Oryzias latipes: one gene and its partner. The protein of the gene in region 2 interacts with the protein of the main gene of each other region in a pairwise test. Links are inferred from orthologs where the notes say so. Each region holds a gene or a part of one and is shown on either strand. Other genes may lie near its edges. The genes, in order: znf830 and aqr.

Region 1 (11,940 bases), on a different chromosome or scaffold from region 2:
GGCTTTGGTGGCTGTGATGTCATCATTCGAGGGATGAGCTCGTTCTCTGTGCAAATTCACTTTTACTGGGTACTAGGTGTAAGCAGATTTTGGTGAAGTTTCGAGGTCGAGGCAGCGCCGACATTTTGCTCAAAGGCGCACTAAGAAAGAAGAAAATCTAGAACTCCCTGGTGGTTACAGTCCAGGACTGCTGGGAGACACAATTAGCCGACATTCCAATAGAAATTCAAAATGCAGGCTGGTTTTAACACAATGTTTCTGGTACTACAAGCTTTTTTATGTCTATTTTACTATTCCATTTCTGTTGTCAATTGACAATATGGTTCAAAATGTTTAAAACAAACCTGTTAAGCTGTTAATGTTACCGAGCAAATCTGAAAAATCACATGCGGCGTTCTTTATGCATAAAAATGAGGCTCATGGAAAAAAAGCGCCAGATGCTGCTTTGCTTATTTATTATTGATGCCTGCATACATGGATGACTGTCTACAGAAAACATAGAGGAGTGCATTTACTTCTTTAAAGCAATCAAGATGATTGTTGCTTTTTCTGTAGCGGGGCGTTTATGCATTTGTTTCATTAAAACCTGAAGTTAATGTAATTACATACATGAGAATTCTGACGGCTAGTTGATCTGTGGCATGGATCATACCAAAAGGCAGTGTTTGTGGTTATTACAGAGGCAAGGATAGTGTGTTAACCTATATTTGCAAGTCCTTTGTTTTTGTTTTTTAAATCAAATTGCTGAAGTAAAAAAGAAAGTGAAAGGAGGTTGCCATGTAATTTACACTTTATGTAACATTTTTTGTAGTCAATTTAGGAATTTTAAATGTGTCTTCTGACATTTTGGAATACTTGATAGCTCTAAACACTATTTTCTGTTCACAACCCAAGTATTAAAATGAATGTAGTTTGTTTGCACCTGTGCCTAAAGCTGTACTGCAAGTCGATGTTTTTCTGTGTTTGCATAGGACATAACGGATCTTAGAAAAGTCATGACTGAAGTTAATAAGACAGAGGAGAAGCGCCACACTTGGACCGATGAGCAGATCCACCTCCTCCTGTCTACTGTGGCAGAACTTCATCAGAGAGTGGCCTTTCTGGAGAACGGGTCCGAACGCAGCGTGAGTCCGTTGTAAAATGATTGGTTTCAGAGGAATACGTACATTTTAAGTGATGATAGAGATGGAGGCGACTGACTAAAAGCACTTAAATAGGCAAAGACTTGACCCAGTCACGGGATCACGTTAAATGTTTCAGGGCTTCAACATTAAAAGTCAAAAAGGTGGTCTTTATCCATTAGTTTGGACACATTTTAGCAAAATGTAGCTTCAAGAAGCTGGAAGCCCTTTTTGGTTAAATCTCTGTGCCTGAAAGGATGGGACCAAAATCCACAATGCAAAGTTTTTATTGAGTTAATTTATTGCGACCAGTTTTTTAAGGATCTTTAAAGAGAAAGGAAACAAGTAAAAACATCAGATATCACATCTTTAACAATCTAATCAATTCTCTGTTAATATTATTTTTAAACAGTCCCCAGTTACCAAACTAAACAGACCTGAGGTTAAATCCAAGCCCTAAAGCAGGACGACCAAAGATAAGCTTTAGCAAATGTAGGAGACTCTCCTCAAAGAGATCCCTTCACTTTCTGGGGAGGCAGATCTGTGGGAGCGAAGAATCTCCTGGCTGTGTCTCCTGTGCTTAGATCAGAATGTACAGTGATCCCTCTTTTATCGCAGGAGTTGCATTCTAAAAATAACCTGCGACGGGTCAAATTCGTGAAGTAGTCAACTTGATTTTTTTTAACAATGATCATAATCAAAATTTAAGGCTGTAAAACTCCTCACTACACACTTTATACACTTGTGTCTGATATTTTGGGACTCTTCTCTCTTGCTTGCGTAAACTCTCAAAGTTCAAACGAAGTCTAGTATTATAGAATAAACTAAAGATGTGCAGATTTATGTAAATTTGGAAACTGAACGCATTCTGTACAGCATGAGTGAGATTGACTGACACTTGTCTACAGCCAATTAGGACCGAACAGGATGCAGTTAAAAAAAAAAAAGCATGTACATTGAACTGAAATAAATCTGTGAAAGATGAAGCACATTATAACATATTGACAACATTTTTAGCCTGATGATCTAAGTCTACCATAGTTTCCACGAGGATTACAATATCCACAGAGCTTTTACAGATTTCCTTCTCAAGGGATGCAAATGTGCTGCTTAGCTTATGGATCGCATTCAGTATGTCAACGTTTGATACTCTTGTTACCCCGAACATGGTTTCTTTGACAGAAGACTAATAAACAAAGAAAAATGTGCATGTTGTTACTGCACTCCATAAAAACGTTTTTATCATGTTTTGGCATGAAGATTTGTTGAGCTATTTGTTAAGTTTTAGCTTTGAACTAGGAACTTCCTAGGAATTTTTTGTAGTGCTTGTTTTGATATATTAGACAGGTTCCAATGGGTTACCAAGAGTTTCATTTGTTTTGTTTTTTTAAATGAGCCACTAAACTTTTGTAGAGTTTGGATTGTAGCTTGTTTGTGGGCTGCCGTTATGCGCCGACCTGATCGAGATACAACATCTGATTCCAATTGAGTCTGAAAATATGTGATCAAATTCAGGCCAGATTTTTGATCACATGATCGGATCAGGACATCTGTACCTAAAGATGGCCTCGTTTTACTTTTGTACTAGGCCTGCACCATAAATCGTAAACTTATCGTTATCGCAATATCAAGCTGTGCAATAAGCATTTTGTAAAAGTCAGTGAAAATTGCGATAAATGGTTATCTTAAATGTTCTAAAACAATCTTATGGTTGCTTGAAGTATTTAACTAATCAAATAAATGCCTTTATGCATTTGACCAATCAGATGGAGCCATTTTATGTTAGATGTTTGCCTCCTATGTAGACGAGGGTCATGTGGATTATAATTTAATTTATGTTGACTCTTATTTAAATTAAACTGTTGCAGTAAAATGGAAATGATGTTTTTGGTAGTTTTGCGATTTGTTTATGTATCCCAAGTTACATCGTCATTGTAATATTGATCATTAATATAGTAAATTGCAAGTTTTCCTCATATCGTGCAGCCCTATTTCGTACCGATATTTTGTTTTCACCTTGATAAATTGATTGTTCTATATCATATTAATTCATTTACAGGGTTTTCTGTTTATTAAAACCAAAATACGGGTTGTTTTTAAAGCTTTTGCTGCTCAATTGGCACAAACTGCCATCAGGTTCTCCCACAAACTCAATATCATTCTGGGTGTAAAACACCTTTATGCTAAAGTCCAACAGTTAGAGTTAAGCTATTGTGTGTAATGCTTGTCTATTTTTATTTTGTTTATTCCAAATACCTAAAATTTTACTGTTTTTTTTTTCTTAGGTGCAGAATAATGGAACAGAAACTTCACCAGAATTTAGCCAACCTTCAGACAACAGGATGCTAAAGGATGCTCCTACAACCACAGCATCTCCTGGTACAGTAATACTGATCAGTTTCTACTAACCGTAAACTGTATTTTCACTGATTCACTGTAATGTTTTTTCTTTTTTCATTCAATAGAGTCCGCTTCACCACTGCTGACGACGAGCAGACGGCCTCGCTTTTTAACTGTACCCCGGCACAAGAGGAATGCGGGGGTAAAATGTTCAAGGAGGGTGTCCCTGCGAGGTGTCAGTTCTCTGAAAGGTAAAACTACCCCATCTTACAGGTTTAAATAAAGTACTTCCTAGACCACCTCAGCCCTAAGGTGGTAATCCAATAAGTGTTGCATTTCACATAAAGTTTTGTTGTTTTGTTCATAGATTTAGAAGACCTGTTTGAGCGAGCCGCTGCAGAGCCTCATTCTCCCGGTCTTACCTACAACGACCTGAAGGAAGTGTTGCAGACGTCGGCTCCCAGCGAACGCACCATGGAGTGCTTCGACAGCAACGGGGACAAGATGTATTCCCTGACAGAGCTGAGAGTGGCCGTGGGTTTTTAAGCACACATTCTATCAGCAGTGAACAGTATTGAAACCCAGACAGGTCTGGAGGGCTGCAAGTTTTTTTTTCTGAAGTTGCTGCATTTTATTTTGTGAATTGGATTTTTGTCATGCTGAATGGGGGGGGGGCAGTGCTGATCTGCTCAATCCTTCTATCCTAAGTTCCATTTTATCTTTTCATCCACCACAAAACATTACCAAATATTTAACTGTAGTGTTAGGAAGTCATGTCTGCTTCTTGTTTAATCGAATTCTGCTTATTTTTAGAGATGCCTGGAGTCCATTTTTCCACCTTCAGTGTCCGACTTTTATCCATGTACTCCTGTTTTTGTCATCTGGATGTAATGATTTAGTGTTTTTCTATAGTAGGATAGAACATAACTGCCAGTTTATGGAGATGCTCCTCACCTATTCACACAACTATGCGGTCCTGCTAACCTGAATCTTTAGATCTGTATTTTGAATGTTTACAAATGACTACTAGAAACACAGTTTTTGTCAGACCTCTGGTGTTTTTATACCTTTTCCTTGTTGATCTTAAATATGAACTTTTATGCTCTTTCTTAAGATGTGACATGCATATTTTCCTAAGTTACAACTGGGATCAAGTATTTAGTCTGCGTCCTTCTCTTTGTACTTTTTCCTGTTTCATATTTGAAGGGCTATACTCGCTTTGAATCTTTGAGGTGCATCCGTGTGAGGCAGATTAAGCAATAAAAATGTAGTTTAGGCAGAAAGCACACCTAACTTGCAGTAACAGGTAGTATAAGAAGCACTGACCATCACCTGTTAGGCGTTTGAATACAAAACTATCCTGGTTCCTTTTGAGCTTTGTAAAAATGTATATTCCCTTGTAAAATGAGTTAAATTGAAAGTTTAATCATTTGTATTTTACTTTGCATGTTGCTTCTTGTGTGACATGAAACATTTGGAAATTTTAAAGTGTGTAATGTTTTTTCCGTGATAACTGACGAGTTCATGCTGCTACTGTACATGGGAGATTTTATGAATGTTTTGTGTTTGAGCACCAATAAAAGAATGTTTAAGGTTTGTTTTTGGTCGCAATAGTTTTGACAAAAGACAGAGAAAACGCTGTTCTCCTTTGAATAATCCATTTTACTTGTGATTTGCAGTTTTCAAAACCCATTCTAGACCGGACAAAAAGGAAAGTTAGTTATAAATCTCTTGAGTTGACAGCATTTTTTGTACAAAATAATTGTTTTGAGTTGAGTTGGACACAAGAAGTGATGCATTTATGAAACTCAAGCAAGAGCCCCTTTGGCCCTCCAGTCCTGGGTCAAAAGTCCCAACAATTCCTCTTCATCATCCTCATCGTCTACGTCTTCCTGTATTTCTTTTGGTTTGTCTTTTTTGGGCAGAGCTTTGCTTTTCACAGCATCTCTCTTGTCCCGCAGCAGTTCCACCCTTTTGTAACACTCGATTTGCTCGTCGATCTCGTCTATCTGGCGCTCCAGACGCCCCTCTTCATCGTCCTCCGCAACGATGGCCTCGGATTTTGTGTTCACTTGGCGAATTTCTTTCTGGAATTCTTCCCACTCTTTGTCCATATGATCCTTGGGAGCATCCACATTGCGCACTTTGGCATCCCTTACTGGGTCGTCGAAGAAGCCCTCGGGCAGCACCTCCGATGTGTTTTCTTTCTTCTCGGGGGGCTTTTCCTTCGTTTCGGCTTTCAGGACGGATCCGGAGTGAGAGATGGCGGGTGTGGATGGGATGGAACTGTCAAAGAAGTCGGCTGGAAGGCCTCCGTCCGCTCCCTGAGCAGGTGCCTCAGACTCAGCGTTGGCATCCTCGTCGTCATAAACACCGGCTAGCAGACTCAGACCCGCAGACTGTTGGGTGGTGAGAGGTTTCTCAGAAGCATCGGATGTAGACTGACTTGCAACCGACGCGGGCTTCGCCTTTTTTGCGGTAACTGCTTCGGTGTCAGGGGCTTTTCTCTTCGGTGTTTGACTCGGCGCTGGTGTCGTTTTTGCTCCTTTTAGCTCTGCAACGTTATCCTTGTGTTGTTTACCGAGGACATGAGCCGGCCACAGTAGATCGGACTTCACCTGCACACTACAGAGCGTGCAGCTCAGATGTCCCAGACTGTTGTATTTGGCGAACGGAGACTCCACGCGCTTCTTGTCAGCGGTTTGTCTTTGTTTCTCCCTCATCAACCGCCGGAGTTCTTCTTGATTTACCACCTTTTTCCCCTTTTTTGAAGTCGCCATCATAAGAGTTTGTTGTTAGCCAGCGAGCTACTAGCTAATCAGCAACAGCCCGTCTCATTAAAATGACGTAGCACCGTCGTTCGTTTGAACTACCGTGAAATCTCGCGATACGAGAGAACCTAGCATGAGCTGTAGCCGTCCGTTTATTCCTGCAAACGCTCATAATTCGCAGCCGCCGTAATTTTTCAAAAGTAAGTACAAAAGATGATACAAGGAAAAACGATGTAGCTTTCTGCGTTGTTTTTGTTTATTTACAGTGTTCTTTTATGTTCAGCATCAATTTCAGTATCATAGCCGCACCCATCATAATCATACAGTATTTTTTTTATTGTGACTTAGCAAGCTAACCGGAAAGCCACCGTCTAACGTTTAGAAATAATTTTAAATGACAAAAATATATAGTTAACTTGAAAGTATTGGCGGTTTATTTGATTTCACTTTTTATTTAATTCGCTAATGCTGCTTTGCGGACAAATTAACGTCACCGATACACCGTCGAGTTCAAGGCTAGCAATCCCCCGTTCTTCATCATCATCATGACAGGTGAAAAACTACGGTCAGTGCGGAAAGACCACAACAGCAAGCTTAACAAAAATGAAGAGATAAGGGACATTTATGACGAAACCTCTAACGAAACCAACCCTAAAGGTACCAGCAACAATTTCAAGATAAATAAGGCTCTCCAGAAATCCATCGAAAGCTCGTTGCTGAAGCAGCATCAGCATCTCAATGCAAACAACATCAACGACAACGCATGCGTTGATAAAAACAAGAATCCTATTATCCTGACCAACGAGGAATTGCAGTTTCCTGTGCACGAGTGCGTGTTCAAAGGAGACGTGCGTCGACTCTCCTCCCTCATTAGGACACACAGCATCATTCAGAAGGATGTGCATGGTAGGTTTTAATATACTTAATTCCTATTCATGTTTATCCTTAGTTTTGTTTTTAAATGCAATCTTTTGTGTCTATTAAAAAAGGGAAAATTGTCTGTCTTTTCAGGAAACACACCTCTTCACCTGGCTGTGATGATGGGACATAAAGGTAAGCTTGAATAACAATAGCAGAAATTATTTGGAGCCTTTTCCCTTTACCCTGGTAATCTGTCAATCTAATTCCAGAGGATTATGTTATAAAAAAAAATCTAGTTAATTATTTATAGTGGTGTAACAACTCATTTTAACAATGATTTGATTGATTTCATAATTTGTGGCTGGGGTTACAATTTATTGATATTGTTTCAGTTTGAAGGATCCAGTTTGATCCGATTCATTGACACCAAATCGACCGAGAACATCTATAACCAAAAATGTGGCATAATGTTGTGGTCACATGTCTTTGCAAAGTTCAAAGTGTTTCCACACATTGGACTGGAATGATGGCTTGATCATTTTTTGCTGCCATCACATGTGCTGTGATGCACTTGGTCATTTTTACGTTCTAGTAAAACAAACCTACAGTGCCTCCATCCAACATGGATTTTAATTGACTACATTTAATTTGAAACGATTATATAATGGTATGCATCAATTTGATTTTTTGAATCAAACGCATATTCTGACAATAGGAAAATAACTTCTTCCATAGTAAAAATGCATTTATAGCACCCTAAAAATGGCTTTGTATTGCCTAAAAAACCTTGTAAATGTCCCAAGTAAAAATATGGTTCTTTAAAAACACCTCCCCCTACTGTGTCAGTTCAACTTTACTCACTGGTTTCCTTTATTTGTAATCTTTCAGAGTGTGCTCTCCTTCTCCTGGCCCATAATGCACCTGTGAAAGTAAAGAACGCACAGGGATGGAGTCCTCTGGCGGAAGCTATCAGCTATGGTGACAGGCAGATGAGTAAGCAATCAGAACAAACCAAGTCCTCCTTCTATTCTATCTGTATAATTATTTAACAGATTCAGCCCGATTTGTTTTTTCTGTTATGTTTTGTTTGGAAAATGTTACATTTTTCTACATTTTTTAGCATTTTAGTTGTTGAAAGTTAAATCATATGTTCTAAAATGTTCTATTTTGCTGACAAACTCTTTTAGAAGGAAACAGCCTGTAAATGTTGAACCTACTGCTTGAGTCAAAGGTAAAACTATTAGTGTTCAGAGGACATTTCTATGACTGATCAACTAGCAGCTGCCGTGTGGGTTCAACTCGAAAGCTGAAGGTCGGGATTTTCCACGAACTCGCCATCCAGATGATCTGGATATCAGCATCTGCCACAGCTTATGATATTAAAAAGAGCTTAGCTTATAAGATCTTTACTGCTCCACATCAGAATAGGACTTCTTTAAATTCAGTGCAGCCCCATTTTTGAACCAACTTAATAAAAAAAGTCAGTTTTTAAAGAAAAAGCTCCCTCTTTTTTCATTTCTCAGGGTCTCTAGTGTAGTAAATCAATGAGCGTGACCTCTGGTACCCTGCGCTTCGGTTATCTTTGCATGTCATGACAGACTGGTCAGGGAGAGGGACTCGGGAGCTTTGAGGAGGTCACAGCTTAGAGAAGCAGGTGGAAAAGGAGCTGACTACATTCAAATGTTCAGCAAGGACACTGAAAGTCAAACTCCACTGACACAGCAGGGTGTTTGGACTTTAACCTAAATAGCATCAACAGCAGGTACCGTTCAGTTAAAGCAAGGTTTGCTCTAGAAAGCACACCTTTGTTTTCTTCTCCTAGCAGTTCTCAAAACTCTGCAATCTTGTCATCTGTCATCGCCTGGGCGCCTTGTGTCAGCAGCTCAGTTGCTGTTTGTATGTGTGTGAAACTATTACATCCTGGAGCCTTGTCAGCACTGCCCCTCTTAGCCACATCCATCCTCATTGCAGCATTTCTGAGATTACTGGGATATACTCAGAAGTGCTGACTTGGTTCATCTGGTCTATCATTGAAGGGTCACTGGTTAGCTCTTTCTTATTTATATATAGAGAGATGGGACTTTTGAACCAGTTATTCCCATCTGCTGATTCAGTCATTGCCGGACTTTGTGCCAATATATTACATTTGATTTGATTAACCCTTGTGCTATCTTAGATGACCCCACCCTTCCATTGACGTGTTCTCCCTACCATGACAAAGGTGGATAAAGGTGGAAGATTTCATGTAATCCATGGACACCAGTGAAGATCACAAATCATTGAAGAAAAAAGGTTCAGCGCACTGTAGTGGGTCTAGATGACCCAACTCCCAACATTAAAGTGCCTAGGATAGCACAAGGGTTACAAATGATTTCATCTTTTCTTAGGTGATTACCTATGATGACATAGTGGTAAATAATTTGTTTGTGTTTAGACCACAGAAAAATTGTGAACAGTGAAGTTTTAATTTGGTAAAAATTCTACACTAAAACCTAAATTTAACAAGAGAATTTCTGTATGAATTTCCATGACCTTGATTTTGTTTGTATTGTTCTTTCAGTAGGATCTTTGTCAATCAGTCGTTCCCGTTTATTTTAAACACTCATGATGGGGCTGAAAGTTTGATTCTGCGCTAAGTCATTTTTGTTGCCATTTCCAGTTACTGCAGTGCTGAGGAAGTTAAAGCAGCAGTCCAGGGAGAGTGTGGAAGATAAGCGGCCAAAATTACTGAAAGCTCTCAGAGAGGTGAGTGTTTCTGTTCTGGCTGGAGCTTCATGTATTAACCTGCATCACAGAAATCTGACTGCTGACATTAAACAAAATACATTTAGCATTTTTATCACTTTTTTTCCAGCTTGGTGACTTTTATCTGGAGCTTCATTGGGACTTTCAGAGTTGGGGTGAGTTTATATTTTATTTTATTTCATTAGTATTAAGTTCTCATACTATACTGCATATACATTTTTAAGACTCAGTTTGATCAGTTAACAAGATGAACAAAACTAGCAATAAAGATTGTAAGTTCTCTTGTAATTAGCAATGTTTTTTGTCCTATTTTTCTTCCACAAACTAATGTATCCAATTCTTGTCTGTTGTAGTCCCTCTGCTGTCCCGGATGCTGCCATCAGATGCCTGTAAAATCTACAAGCAGGGCATTAATATCAGGTTAGACGCCAACCAGATAAAGACCAGCGTACCTGTGGGACACTTCAGAAAAGAGTTGATATCCAGGCCAAGAACTTCTTTTAGATCTAAAAAGTAGGACGTAACAAACTTTACATTCTGAGTTGGTTCTCCTCTTTCCTGATTTAGACTTGACACCACCCTCGTAGATTTTAATGACATGAAGTGCCAGCGTGGAGATCTGAGCTTCATTTTCAACGGCGATGCTGTACCTTCTCAGTCCTTTGTGGTTTTGGACAACAAAGCAAACGTTTACCAAAGAGTACACCATGAGGTCAGTGGATGGCACAACCCCACCAGAGCACATTCTGTGGCTTTCACGAGTGATTCCAACATTTTTGTTTCCCACAAGGAGTCGGAGATGGAAACTGAGGAGGAGGTGGACATTTTGATGAGCAGTGACGTCTACTCTGCAACCCTGTCAACCAAGTCCATCACTTTCTCTCGCAGTCAGATTGGCTGGCTGTTCAGAGAGGACAAAACGGTAAAGCTGGTGCTGACACCCCCCTGAGCAGATTTAGCATCTTTAAAACGCACAAATGCAAAGATAAAAAGAAATCCTCTTTTTCTGAGAACAAACCCTCCTCATTTAACCACCATTTTAGAGTTTCATCCTCAAGTGTTATTTTAGACGCCAGCTTTTACCGTCTGTTTTCGCAGGAGAGGGTGGGAAACTTCCTGGCTGACTTCTATTCAGTGAACGGCCTGGTGCTGGAGTCCAGAAAGCGACGAGAACATTTAAGCGAGGAGGACATATTGAGGAACAAAGCCATCATGGAGAGTTTGAGTAAAGGAGGCGGCATCAGTGAACAGAACTTTGAGGTGCTTCTTCTGTTTCCCTGCGACAGACCATGTTGTTGCTCATGGCGCTGAATCTTGTTTTGCTTCTATCGTCAGCCTGTGAGGAGGAAGTCCCTCACAGCTCCAACCCCCAACACCATTTCTTGGGAAGAGTACATAACGGCAGAGCACGGAAAGTGAGGCGCTTGTGTTTTTCTGTGATTGCATTAGCTCCACATAATTGACCTGTTTTTTCATGAGATCTACAAGGTAATTTCTGTAAGTGCTTTGGGTGTAATCTCCCTCTTTATGTCGTGTGTGTGTGTGTGCGCGTGTGTGCATGTGTTCTCCCATCTGAAGGCCTCCTCATCTGGGTCGGGAACTTGTGTGTAAGGAGAGCAAGAAGAACTTCAAAGCCACCGTAGCCATGAGTCAGGATTTTCCTTTAGGCATTGAATCGTAAGCACTTCCTTCCGCCTTAAATCACTGCAAAGGTAGTGTGTGTTTGATCCTGCACACATACACTTTTAATAAAAAAAAAATCACTTAATAATATATGGGAGTTATTATAGATTATGCCTGGTATGTTAAAAATACGGACTTATTTCTTTAAGTGTCTCTGAGACAGATTATTACACGTTTTGCTGACCTGGATTCTTTTTTACATTTTATCTCTCACAGTTAGTGGAACCTCGTTTACTGCAGGAATGACGTTTTAATAGGAACCTGCAATAAATAGGTGAAATCTGACTATTCCTCTTTATTTACAGTTTTTACACTTAGTTTTAAGAAAAAACTCGCGATCTAATATTTACGTCTATTTGGCAAACTGAACACATTCTCTCCAGGGAGACGCCATGCAGAGATTGAGTGGCCACGTCTGC
Region 2 (13,259 bases):
GGCTGGTTGGCCCCCTGTCCTGGGGGGGGGGGGGGGGGGGGGGCAGCAGTTTTCCTCTATCTGCTATCCCGTGGGGTGTTGGGGGGTCCTGGCTACCGCTGCTGCCTTGGCGGGGGTCTTGGTGTGGAGATGACTAGGCACTCTCCCTCTCTTTTTCACCACTTTTTTCATCCACCCCAGAAGAACATAAACACCGTCTGAGCACAGGTGTTAGCTCACTTTGCACAAATAGTTTGCGTGACTGAATGACATGTTTTACATGTGTTTGGTCAAATGAAATAAGGCTTGTCATGTTAAAGCATTTAGATCACTTCTTGCAGTCATTATCGAAGTAGCTCACAAAAAAAAAAAACACTCCAGAGTGAACAAACTGACATTTGTTTGATATTTGTTTGTCCCAACAGTTTTGTTTACCTACCTAAGATGGCCAAAGTGTTTGGTCAAGGTTTCCCGAGTGTCCACTGCTGCTACGTTGGACATCGCAAAGTCATTCAGCTCTGGAAAATGAGAAAAGGCTGCTCTCTGCAAGATGAAAAAAAGAATTATTGGTGCATATATATATAAACATATATTAACTTGTGTCAATTTCAAGCACTACGTGATTTCTTTCACAATCCTCTCAGTCAGATTGGGTTCTGTCATTTCCAGGGATTTTTCAATACATTTAAAACCTGACAAAAAAACTGGATGTCCAAAAAAAAAGCCCACAGCTAACAGAGGGCTGATAGAAACTCTGCTGATCTCTGATTAAGTCGCTGTTTACCTGCAGAGAAGTGATCTTGTCATAGTGCAACGTGGTCATTTCTTTCTGCGTAAGAGCATTTCCTGTCTGATCATTGATCTCAAAACCAGAGTAAAACTTTAGCATGTCGAGAAGCTGAAAAGAACAAATAACACCAATTAGGATTTCTTCACGGAGAAAACAGGTTTTCAAAGTCACTAAAAGCTTGTTTTACCTGACAAAAGAGGTGGCCCTCCGTTTCTCTTTTAAGGAGGCCAGAGAGTTGGCAGCTGACCACAAGATGAGAGTCGTCCAGCATTGTGTTGAACCATCGTCTGGTGGGCAGCAGCGCCTGGAAACACAGGGAGGCCATAGCATTTGTACTTTTGAGCAGACATGAACGAATGCTTTTGTAAGAAAGAAAGCCATTTAAAAAACTAATTAATTGCATTTTCACCAACATTTTAAACAGGAAGGGTAAAACAAAGCAACTGACTTAACAATTACCAAGTTTTTCAGCAAGTCAACCCCATTTATGAGAGGAAAACACAGCACATCATAGTAAATTTAAAAAGAATCAGCCAGATTCCCAACCGAAAGATATACATTTCAGCTTCATGATTCAAAACTGCCTTTTAAAGACAGCAGCTGCAGCGCCTGCATCCCTAACTATAAATCAAATAATTCAATATCTATAAGCCACCTTTGAGTGTAACCCTTCGGACGGAATAGGATCCTTTTCCCTGCAATCATATTTAGATTCTCGTCAGAATGGGAAGTATGGATTTCTTGCGATTGAGGCTTTGTGAAAGGATAGTGCTGAAGGACATGAAAAGTCTCTGGAGACAGTAGGCTAGCTGACCACAAGCTGCTGGCAGGAACTGCAAGGCTAACCTGTCAGCAAAGAGCCAGATGAAATCTATTGAGCGTCTGTGTTAGACAGATTTGATCTGCTAAGGCAGCAGAAATGATCGTCTTGTGGCACAACATGTCTTCACAACAACCTCATTTGAAGGCTTGACTGTTCTCCATTCCCGTCTTTTTTTAACACAACTTTATATCTTTATTTTAAGACTGTCGGCACGATTTTGCTAAATGTAAAACACTGATATCTACAATTATTCATTTCCAACAAATTAAAAAGATACACACAACAATCACTAACCTAAAAATGACGTATCCCCATAACTTCCTGTTTGAGGCAGATATAAAACATAAACTAACTTCATCCTGGTGGAGTAACTAATCCCTATAGGAGGTTTTGAACCAGTAGGTCAGTTCTCATTCACTCTTAATGACTAACAGTCTTGCACCATTATTGTTTTTTTATCTCTATGGATAGGTTTAACATAGATGTAAACTTTAATAGGGGCAAATTTGTCATAGGCTAATCATTTGGTATCATTTTCACATTCAAAACACAATCAAACATGGATAATATCTCTTTACAACAGTCGTTCTTGGTGTGCTCCAATAGCCTTTTGGCTTGGTTCTCCCATTTAGTCACCGATTAGAGGAAAGGTTGTGTTTTACTGAGATATATCCTCCCAAAATGGTGACAAAACCAAAGACTGACTTCATACCCAATGGGTTATGTTTCATGTTTTCTTTCATTGACAGTCGTTGGTCAGAAACAAAAGTTTGATTTGACAGAAAAGAACTCACCATCAGAACATTTTGCGCCTTTCTGACTGTAGATCTTTTTAGGGGAATGGCTAGGAGCTAAAAAAATCTTTCAAAATAAATGATTATCTTATATTCTTGCTAATATGAATTCAAACTAAAACTTGAATTAATTAACTTTTATTTCTAAATAGAACTAGGCAATAAACCAAAGCCCATTTCCCCAGACATTGCCCTCAGTAGGAGCTGGAATTTGACATTTATCAAACACCCTGTGACAAAAATTTGATTAGAGTGAAATTAAAAGGTAAACGATGATTAAATTCTAAAACACCTGTACTAACACCATAGTAATGACGTATTACTTTGTTCATGACTGATTCTAGACATAATGTCAGTGGACATGATCTCAGTTTTTACATATAAACTTTAGTTGAGTGAAAACCAAGAGTGGGATGTAAAGTTCAAATTAAAAATCTGTCTTACCTCCAAATCAATTATGAGCTCAATGAATCTTTCACAATAATGGACTTTGTCCATTGACAGAGGCCCTGTGGTAAACAGACATGAAAAAGATTTTACTTCAGATACACAATGTTGTTCATTTAAAGTGCGAAACATGAGTAATAGACTGTCCCAAAATGTCAGGAAGCTAGATGGTAACATTTCCAAAAAATCTGAAGCCAGCAAACATGAAGAAAACACCAACCTGCCTTGCTAAGTGGATGAGCTCTCACAATGAGAGGCTGCACGGCCAGCTCAGCAGCATGCTGGGAGCTCAGCCCTCATTAAGCATTCCTGTTCCTCTCTGTGTGTCTCTGTGTGTGCGCACTTAACGTGGAGACATACAGCAAGCCAATAGAGTGATGCTGACCCTGCTGGGTTTTTGCTTGTAATCAAGAGTGTCAGGTTGAATTTTATCTAAACACTCAGTTTTTAGCATTCTGATGGGGGGGACTCGTGTGTCGGCCTGTATCACGGCATCACGGCCAGCGCATTTAACTGTATAGAAGCTGGAGTGCATGTTTCTTAAGCTGCTGCACGACTCAAAGCAAGGCGACAAAATTATAAGAAAAAGTAGACATTAGCTGAGTGGCCTGGAGGTAAAGTGTCTGCCCGAAGGCTAGAAGATCGAGGGTTTGAGTTCCCGGTCATGCCATATCAAAGATGGTAACAATGGGACTCAATCCCACCTTAAGCATTAACTCAGCATTAGTTGGTTGGATTGGGGGATTAAACTGCCAAAATGTTTCCCTCACCAGTACCCCAGTGCAGAAAAAAAGTGCATACACCCAGTTGTGTGAGTTTTTGGAATGCAATACTACATTTAGTTTGGATATCAAGGTAATGGTAAATACAGGAATAAAGCTGAAAAAATCACATAAACACCTAAATCTGAATTGAAGTGCTGAACTAATATTTTCCAAGGACTTTTTTATTTAATTTTCCATCTTCCATTTGTGCATTTATGCTTTTTCCCCCCCAAACCAAACACATTTATTTACCTGTTGGTGGAACTGACATGAGAACGCCGAGAAACTTTTTAATGAGAGCTGAGAGAAAGGTCCTTTCTTTGATTGCCCTGGAGAAGATACAAAAAAATCAGAATTATCAAAATACAAACAATAAAGAGCAAACTTAAATTGGCGTAGATTTGATTCAAAACACCCAAAAAACAGGCTTACTGCTTAGCCGCATCAGCATCCATCTGGTCAAATTTCTTCTTGATTAGATTCCAGAACTTTTGCAGCTTTGGGACTTTTTTCAGCTCCTGCTGCAGCCTAGACTGCAAATATGATGCAAAAAAATGTAAGAATCCAATTTTTTGGAGAATTAGTAAACAGGGAAGAAGTCAGTGTTAAACAATAAATACACACAAGACAATATTATTTGAAAGAACACAAGATTGGGATGTGGAATGACAACCAGAACATAGGGCGGTAACTAGAAAATGTGAGCTTACTGGTAAGAGGCACATCCACATTGGCAGGGAGACGAGCTGCTGTACCTGTTCTCTGATCAAATCAACCTCCTGCATAGAACAAGAAGAAAGATGAAATGCAGTCATGGGATTTTTCCAAAAGCACAGCATGTGACAAATTTTAATGCACCTCAGCCCCTAATAAAAGTCTGAACTAAATTATTTACAAGCTTTTATGGCATACAATCAAAGGGCAGCAGGCTATCGCAGCAGATTTTAAATTGAGACGTGTGTTTCTTTGAGGTCTGATGCAGCTGTTAAGGATACAAACGACCTGCCAAGAGAAGCACTGCACGGGCTACCACTGCCACCTAGAGGGCATTCCAAACAATTACAGAAAATTGCACATAAAGTATTATTTTAAAAGGATATTTTTGAAATGTCAAAGGATATGGCTTTTTTTAAATAAATGCATGCAGCCTGTTTATTATCTTAGCTTGTTATTTATTTTAAAATGTTTTAATTATTTTATGTAATTATTTATGTACGTTTATACATTTAAATGTAAATTCAACGTTTGTGCCTTTTTGTTGTTAATTGTAAAGCCCTTTGAGCTGCTCAAAGCATGAAAAGCATTTTTTAAAATAAAGTTTAATACTTGAATGACTGGAAGCATCCAATACTCTCATCCCCGACACCTTTTTTTTCCTAAAACGTTTGGTTAATGCAGTACAAACCAGGCTGTTGAAGCAGTGATCCAGGAAAACCAGGAGAACAGTTTGTTCCTTCAGACAGAGTCCAGCATCATCGCCTGTCAACACAGCTTCCATCACGCATTTGAAGAAGAAGGGGAAGTGGCTGGGCTTCTTCTTAAACACCTTACAAACATTATTAACAAAAAAATAACAAAGGAAATTAGAATACATGACTCAGCCTTTTATTAAAAGCAAAAATAACCTTGCTTACCTCCCATGCTGGAACATTTTCTCTAAACTTCTCATTGACAATGCAACAAATGGACATCATAAAAGCTTTGCTGGACACATCTGGTGTGTAATTCACCCAAAGGTAGTTCTCAAGGTATTGGCTGAAATAGAAAAGGGACAAAATATGAAACCAAACAAAACTGTTGACAGTTCAAAATTGTAATATCCTTTTTTCCCTGCTGCAATTTTAGAAGAAATCAAATGGAAATTCCTCACCTGAATTCAAGCAGCATAATTTTTCTGATAGAAAATCTGTGAACAATTAAAAAATATGTTAAGGAAAAAGATTGTTCAGCATTTCAAAGACAGATAAGAGGAAAAAGTATAGACTTACTTGGACTGCACAATTTCCTTTTCGTAGACATCCTCCATCACCTAAAAACAAAAACAGAAAAAAATCCATAACCGATATGTCAGAGTAAATTTATAAGTCACAAACAAGAAAAAAAAAACAAAAATATTTCTCTTGTATTTTGTGCAGACACAACTACTGTCTCAATTCAACCCACAAAGTTAACTGCATCAAAAGTCCTTTTGATCAGTGTTTGTTCGGTAAAATTTATCAATAAAAACCTGTTCAAACCAGATCAAATATTTTCCCATTGTGGAATTATTGAACAGCTCCAGGAACAACTATTAAAGCAAAGCACTGACCTATCCCAAAACCTCTTATATCCCAAAGTAACATTAAATGAAATGGACCAATGCAATCTACAAAGTTTGCACAGTGAAATTGACAAAATATTACACATCTAGTGCCAAGCCAGTGCAGAACAAATCAAGATTCCTCAGGTTTATGCTAGACAGTTAACACTGCTTTGGCAATGTGAGTTTCTTCTTATATTTTGTCTGACCTTCAAGTGTTTAATTTCTGCTATTGTTGCTACATTGTCCAAAGTCTTTACAATGCACTTGGAATACTTCATTGAGAAGAAAAGACAAATAGCTGAAGGACGGATCAGCTACTGAGACTATTCAGAGTAAAAATAAAAATCAGTTAATGTCCACTGAAAAAAGTCCAAATTAAAAGATGAAAAAATAATTCTGATTAAGCTATTGTATGCAAATACTGAAACTCTTTCCCCTCTCTGCTTCTGTGCCGGTCCCAAGCCCGGTTGCTTTGAGAGGGTTGCGTCAGGAAGGGCATCCGGCGTAAAACATTGCCAAGTTTACCATGCGACTCGTTCGCTGTGGTGACCCCTGATGGGAAAAGCCGAAAGGGAAACATGCAAATACTGAAACTCTGATTTACCTTGGGGTCAAACGGTAGCTTATTTTTAGCTTGAGGGGCCCAATACTTATTAGCCAACTGGAAATATAAATGAGAAAATTTAATCAGCCTTAAAAATCAAACATGTGAGAGTGGTATAATTATTCAAACGTATCTTTGCAGTACATATGAAATGTGCTTCTGTTGCTTACCTGGGTGACATATTCTGCATTTATCTGAGACACTGAAGGCGCTGCAGCCTTCTTAGCAGCGGGTTCTTTCTCCGTAGTAGTCGCCATCTACGAGACGACATCCACAGTAAACAACAGAGATCGATGACACATCAAAAGCAGCAAGATAATAAAAGGTATAAGTAAACGCCAATCCGATTAAGGTTAAGATTGTGGCTACTAATATAAGATAGCAAACGAAATGGACAAACGTAAAACTTAAAGAGAACACTAACTGAGCTTTGAAGAAATATGCACTTCTAAAGAAAAAAAAAAGGCCGTTAGAAATCTTTTGTGGAAAAAAAGGTGTATGGAGGGCAAGACTCGGAAACATTATGGCAACTTCCTTTGCGATTGGCTTCGTACTTTTGTTTTGCCAAACGCCAACAGATAGAAACGTTAGCTTTCCCCACAATATGCTAGGCTACTACTTAGCGGCGTAAACAAACTTATTTCAGATATAAAACTTGTACATATGTTGTCACCTGAGAAATAAGACAAATGAACTAACCTCAACAGTTAATTACTTTGACATAAACGTGGTGAAAAAACGACGCCTTGTACAACAAGCGTGTACACAACAACGCGCCGATTACCACTAACTTCCTGAATGGGTACGTCTCTGTCATTGTCCCCTGGAACAGCGACAAGCACAGGGTTCCGCATATACATTTCTCAACTTTTAATGGCTCAAATGTTTTGGGGGCCAAGATTCGTCTTAATTATCGGATTATTTTTCCAATACTGCAGAGTTAGGTCGAAACACCAGTTTTAGGCATATATTTTATGTTTTGTAACAAATTGAGCTACAGCACCTCTCTAAACAGGCTCATATGCCTCTTAGCAGCTTTGAACAGTTTTACCCATTATTTCCACAACATTTTTTCTTTCAGGTTATTTGTTTAACTTTTGGTTGTTTATTTTATTTAAATGATTTTTTTCATTAGTAGCCAATTTTATATTTAATTTATTTTTATTTAAATATTTTTTAACGTTTTTGTCTGTATGTTCTTTAGACTTATCTGTATGTCTTTGGAGCTGTTTGCATTAGGGAAGCTGGTTTGGGTGGTTGGGGGCATCCATGCTGATTTATTGAGACTTTCAGGATAGATAGATACTTTTATTGTCATGGTCACTCATACAACAGAATTTAATTAGGTGTACATAGGAGACGAGGTGGGAGAATTGGAATGGCTTTATAAAAAAAATGTTTTCAAATCTGTTGAGCAGTTGTGTATTTTTTTTTATTCAAAACAAAAAGAAAACATTTTATATATTCAAAAGGGCCCTTTAAATAAATTGATTCTTTTGATCCACAGTTTTTAGCTGCCTCAAAGGTGTTTAACATTTTGAGATGATTGTTGAGTGTTTAATCCAGTTAAAAGTGCTTCAAAATTCTTCTCTTTTCTTTCTCTTTGTATTAGCAGTTATGATGATAGATAATATATTGATAATGGAATACCTGTTGGTTTTAGTCAAAACATGTCTCCAACAGCAATATTTAATCTAAAATAATGAATAAAGGACAATTAAAATACCCCAAAACAGCTTTATTCAAAACAAAAGAATGAAAATGATAAGCTTTGCATACATTAGAGGCATATTTGACTGTTTCACAGTGTAAGATGTCAACTGTCAAACATGGAAGTGTAAGTGTAATGGCATATGGCTATTTTGCTGAATTCAGGGTTGGTGAATTTGGTCTTTGCAACAACGTCTGGTATGCACTTTGTTGGTAAGAGGCTCAACCTACAAGAAGTGAATACCCCAAACAGTCTAAAATATGCCATAGCTAAAGAACAAGACGGTAACCTTTAAAACATGGAGTAAAACACCTCCAGATTGGAATCCCATTGAGATTAAAAAAGAGCATTTAGGCTACCAACATTAGCTTCCTTTATAAATTAAATTAATATAGACGCAGATGCTTTATGGTATACAAACCGATTCCAGGATTTGTTTTATAATTCCAGTTGCTCAGTTGTAATACACTTTCATTTCAGACACTGACAACTTTCCAGTCAAGACCTTGATACACTGAAGTGTTCTATCAGTTGACTGGTTGTGTTGTCCCCCCACTTTTTTTGGTGTTGCTCACTCTTGTAATTTAGAACTTAGACTTTCAGAATCCCATCATACCCAACATAATTTAAAAAAAAAAAACATTTGCAAATGGACATTTTCATTTTTTGCTTTTACACTGATATGGACAAATTAACTTATATAAATGAAGCTTTTTTTTCTTGGTATAATCATTAAATTTATAATTCTCAAAATTCTAGCATCACTTGCAAGATGCTGTTCAAGACAAGTCTGCAGCTCTCAAAATGTTCTGTTGAAACGCTTTTCAGTTCCCATCTCTTTCCTTTATTTGGTGGAAAGGTTTAAAACTGTATACAGTTTTTTTCCCTGTTGCATTTCTTATTGACTTACACGGTGTGAACAAATTTTTAAAAACCTTTGATCAGAAAATTACAGCAGTGACTAAAGTGTTTAAATTGGCAAAAAAGAATGTTGTTCTTACAGATACAATGGATAGTTATTTATTTATTTTACATGTGAGAAAGAACTTTATTTGCTTGTGGTAAAGATGTGGCAGTTTGAAGAAGGGTCATGTTGATAATGTATATTCCAGAAAAATAAGCAGGTTTATGTTCAAACCCAGACTAGGTTAAGTCAAACTCTGACAGAAATGTTTCTAGTGGGTCTCACACTTCTGCTTCAGTTGGCAGTCAAACTTGACAGAAGGATCTAAGATCAAAGGTTAGACCAATGCTACTAAAAACATTAAACAGTTAATGTTTGCAAATGATTTAGTATTTTAGGAAATGTATTTAAGTTTTCCAATCTATTCTAGAGCATATTACGTAAGTTTGGAAAATTACTATACATGAAGTTATAGATAATGTTATAGTTATGTATGTGCTTTACGTTAAAAGTACATTTTAATTATAAACTGCCTATCCCTCCTCCCCTGCATACTCTCGTCTCAAAGGCCAAAAAAAATAGTCTAAGATTAAACTAAGAATCATTCATATCTTAGAACTAGCTTTGCAGAACCGCCAACCAAATCTTGGCCGCTGTTTTTACTTATATATTTTTTAATTTTTTTGGTTGTTCTTGCTAAAAAAAAAAAAAAAAAAAAGTCAAATTAACTTTCAAAGCCCAAAAGAAAATTGCCCTTGGGTTCACTTTGGTTAAACATGATTTTATTATCTGCAAAAATTGGACTATTATTGACATGTTTTGGTGAAAATATACATTTTTTGCCTGTCTGAGACAAAATGTAGGAGTTTGTTTTTTCTTTTTTGTCTGATTGGTGGTATTTAAAAAAAGCTATGCTCTTTGGCACATGAATAAACTGTTTCTTAAATACAATAAGTGTCAGATAATTGTTATTTTTAAATTAACAATTAATTTCAAGCACAAAAAAGTTTCTACTTTGAAATAGGATAACAATATATCATCTTATAAACTAAATAAGTAGTTTTTAAGATGAGTGGCAATAACGCTTTGCCAAGTGATTTGAGATGAAAGGTCTAAAAACTGGTTTTGAGATATTTAAAAAAAAAAAGTAAAATTCAGGTTTGTTTTGAAAAATCTTAGAGAACATGTTAAGACATTCAAGCCAAGGAAAAACTGCTGTACTTCGATTGACCACAAGAGGGGAGCACACACCACTGAACAGCATTTGTGACCGTCCCTTCAGCAAATGGAGAAAGTTTGATAAAGTCAATGCTGTGACTATAAACATGCATGCTTTCACAATCGTTCATGTGATGGAAACAAAGCATTACACAACAAAAAGAATGTCAAGACAGAAACAAACAAACTAAACCACAATGACTGAGTCAAGAAGACCACGATGTGAGGAGACGCCTCATGTGGTGAGGCTGGGCTCCCCCACTCTGAAGCCCACTGCTATGAGGAAACCGAGTCACAGACATCAGCAAGGTTTGCCTGGAGGAAGAAACACACTGTTTAAAGTCCATGTGCAAGGCCACGATGACAAGGGCCGTGGGCTGGTAGGGACAAGAACAGTATTAGCCAAAACACAGTGCTTCTTTGTGCAGTGGTTGCAGGTCAGCATGGCAGAAAATGTACATTTGACAAAATGCACGAGAAAAATAAATGTCACCCTGTCTTTGCTCATTTTATGATGAAGCGCTGTGGCGAGGATACAAAGAAATGTGCCTGCCATAGGCCATCACGATGTTTAAGACAAGGCTGTGAAAGTACACTTGTGGGTTTGCCAGAGTGTGTTTTAAAAACAAGCATGCTGAAAGACAGAGCATTATGTTTAGTGTTTGATGGATAAGTGGTGGCCATGCAGTGGAATCTAGCTATTGTGCAAAATTAAACCAAAGACATTGTCTTTGTGACATTGTCACAAAGACAAACAGATCAACAAATCATAGAGAACATGTTAAAAATTCATCTTCAAAAAGCACTATTTTTATTTATTTATTTATTTTAGAAATAATCAGGATATAGTAGAAAAAAGGTTTACAGTCTTAACAGGAATTATGCTAATGATCCACAGTTTGAGTATTTTCAAATTAAATTGTAGCTAAATTGACCTGACCAATGTGAAAAGAGTGCACAAATGGAAAACTCAAGGTAGAAAACATAGAAAGAAAATGTGATCTTGAAGTGGTTCTTTTTAGCTGTGTCGCTCAGAAACTCTCACTTTGTAAAGAGTCTTTACAACTTAACAGCTCAACATTAACACACTGTATGTTTATGGGGAATTGGATTGCGCCCTCATAAATAATTGCTTGTTTGTATTTTTCAACCCCCCGATACACATCTTCAGGCTCCGTTGGCTACCACCATTGTTCAATTTTTGATGACAACAATCAAAACAACAATGTGTAGGGTGGAGATCAATAGTCCACTTCAAAAGGGCGGCAAAGAGAAAAGCTGGGGTGAAGATGCATCCCAACTCCAACTATCAATACGGTTCATGATCTCTGAGAAAAGAAATGTTGCAGAAGCGATGGTTAATGGAGGTATTTTCTTGCAACATCGTCACACTGTTCCCAATGACTATCCCCCTTTAATACTTGCTCACTCATAGAAAAAAAACTTGCCCTGCAGCCATGTGTGCTAGTGTCCTTCTTCTATTAACCAGGCTGCCTTAGAATCAATAGAAAACATAAAAAGGTCTAATCTTTTCAGGTACTTGGCACTGATTGCCTATTACACAATAATAACACACCAAGGGCTCTATGAAGCATGAGAAGGAATCCCACTCACATCCTCTGAACATATAACGCACAGCTCCAAACCAGTCTCACAGTAAATCTCTAGGTTTACAACCCAACTGATGGCGTCAGAGATGGTGGCTCAGCCTGTACAAAGGATGCAGGTTAAGAAAGATTCCACCACAAACAGCGGGGTATCAGGGTGTGCTGCCTGGTGGAGTGAGGAACTGCTGGAGTCTTCCTTTGCAGAGGAAAGTTCTGTGGTATGCAGATGTTCCAAAAGTCTTCTCTGTGAGCTGAAGGGACAGCTGCTGTGGGAGATTAAAGAGTTTCTTGTTGGTATAAAACCCTTCGATCTAAAACGGAATAAAATGGAATAAATACATCTAAACAACTTGGATACATGTGTACTTTCAATTTTAACCAATTAAAAGCGGCAAGCGGGTCACATTAATAGGTGGTGCTTATTTTCTGGTCCCCTTAGATCTTCTGGTAGGCAGATCAAGTATGTCCGTTCACTTCAACTTTGTTTCTATGAACTGAACCAGCCAGACAGGTGGAGGATCTTGGAGTCGGGAAAGTCCAGGACAGGGACCAAAGCCACCGACGGACTGGACTCTAACAAGGAGCTTTTCAAGCTTTCTTCAAGTCCTATGGAAGGAAAGAGACAAAATCTGTTAATCTTGTGAGATTAATCTTGTGAGATTTCGAGCTTTAGTCAACATTTGGTACTTGTGTGGGTGTCCCAGTGGGGCTGTCCCAGTGCTGTGGACACACCTAACCCTTCAGCCAGACACAAAAGGCTTATTTTCAATTTATTGGCATGCTCAACTAGATTGCAGCCTCTTACCCCCCCCCACGTCTAATTCAGCTTCCCGCAGTGCTGACATATGGTCAGAAAGGACTGAACGCCAGACTACCCGTCTCAATTTTGTACACAGAGCCACGCATGACTTAACTCACACATACAAACATAAAAAAGGAGCAACCGAGCAGCTTGTTGGGAGTCTCCGGTGTAATAGATCCTCTGCCCCTGTTGAGTTGGGATGTTATGAAGCTGTGCTGGGACCACCAGCTGACACATACTGTTAGTATGTGTGTGTGAGGCTAGACTAGTGGACTTGGGAGAATCCATCGAGTGTCTCAGAGCTGTGCCTGATGACAGCCTGTCTGTTTAGCAACAGCCAGCTGGGCGGTGGGCATTCTCTCTTGTGATCTGTACATTAATTGGTCACAAGTCATGTGTCTTAGGGTTGACAGTTTGGCCTCATATCATCTGTATTAATGGCGTGCTGGACGGAAAGTGGGTGTGGTCAAAATGAACTGGCATTGTCGTAATAAATCCTGGAGAGCACCACTGT

What was found.
Region 1: the proteins of aqr (region 2) and znf830 interact in a two-hybrid assay, tested with the Homo sapiens proteins (2 studies listed by BioGRID and IntAct, with this or other methods). The link is inferred for Oryzias latipes from reciprocal best matches to the Homo sapiens genes AQR and ZNF830.

What each region holds. Positions count from the first base shown.
Region 1 is NC_019875.2:26,989,378-27,001,317, forward strand, and holds znf830 (zinc finger protein 830), read right to left. Parts: upstream 6,300-11,940; 5' UTR 6,245-6,299; coding exon 5,270-6,244; 3' UTR 5,103-5,269; downstream 1-5,102. Other genes in the region: efcab14 (EF-hand calcium-binding domain-containing protein 14), read left to right, coding at 972-1,124, 3,407-3,500, 3,587-3,712, 3,829-4,007; ankyrin repeat domain-containing protein 13C-like, read left to right, coding at 6,778-7,138, 7,244-7,285, 7,982-8,086, 9,753-9,838, 9,948-9,993, 10,192-10,258, 10,406-10,550, 10,629-10,760 and 3 more.
Region 2 is NC_019880.2:7,468,039-7,481,297, reverse strand, and holds the start of aqr (intron-binding protein aquarius), read right to left. Parts: upstream 7,334-13,259; 5' UTR 7,203-7,333; intron 6,761-7,202; coding exon 6,674-6,760; intron 6,561-6,673; coding exon 6,504-6,560; intron 5,627-6,503; coding exon 5,586-5,626; intron 5,504-5,585; coding exon 5,468-5,503; intron 5,353-5,467; coding exon 5,232-5,352; intron 5,144-5,231; coding exon 5,003-5,143; intron 4,377-5,002; coding exon 4,308-4,376; intron 4,131-4,307; coding exon 4,030-4,130; intron 3,927-4,029; coding exon 3,850-3,926; intron 2,896-3,849; coding exon 2,831-2,895; intron 1,074-2,830; coding exon 957-1,073; intron 878-956; coding exon 764-877; intron 523-763; coding exon 419-522; intron 1-418. Other genes in the region: dph6 (diphthine--ammonia ligase), read right to left, coding at 12,431-12,549.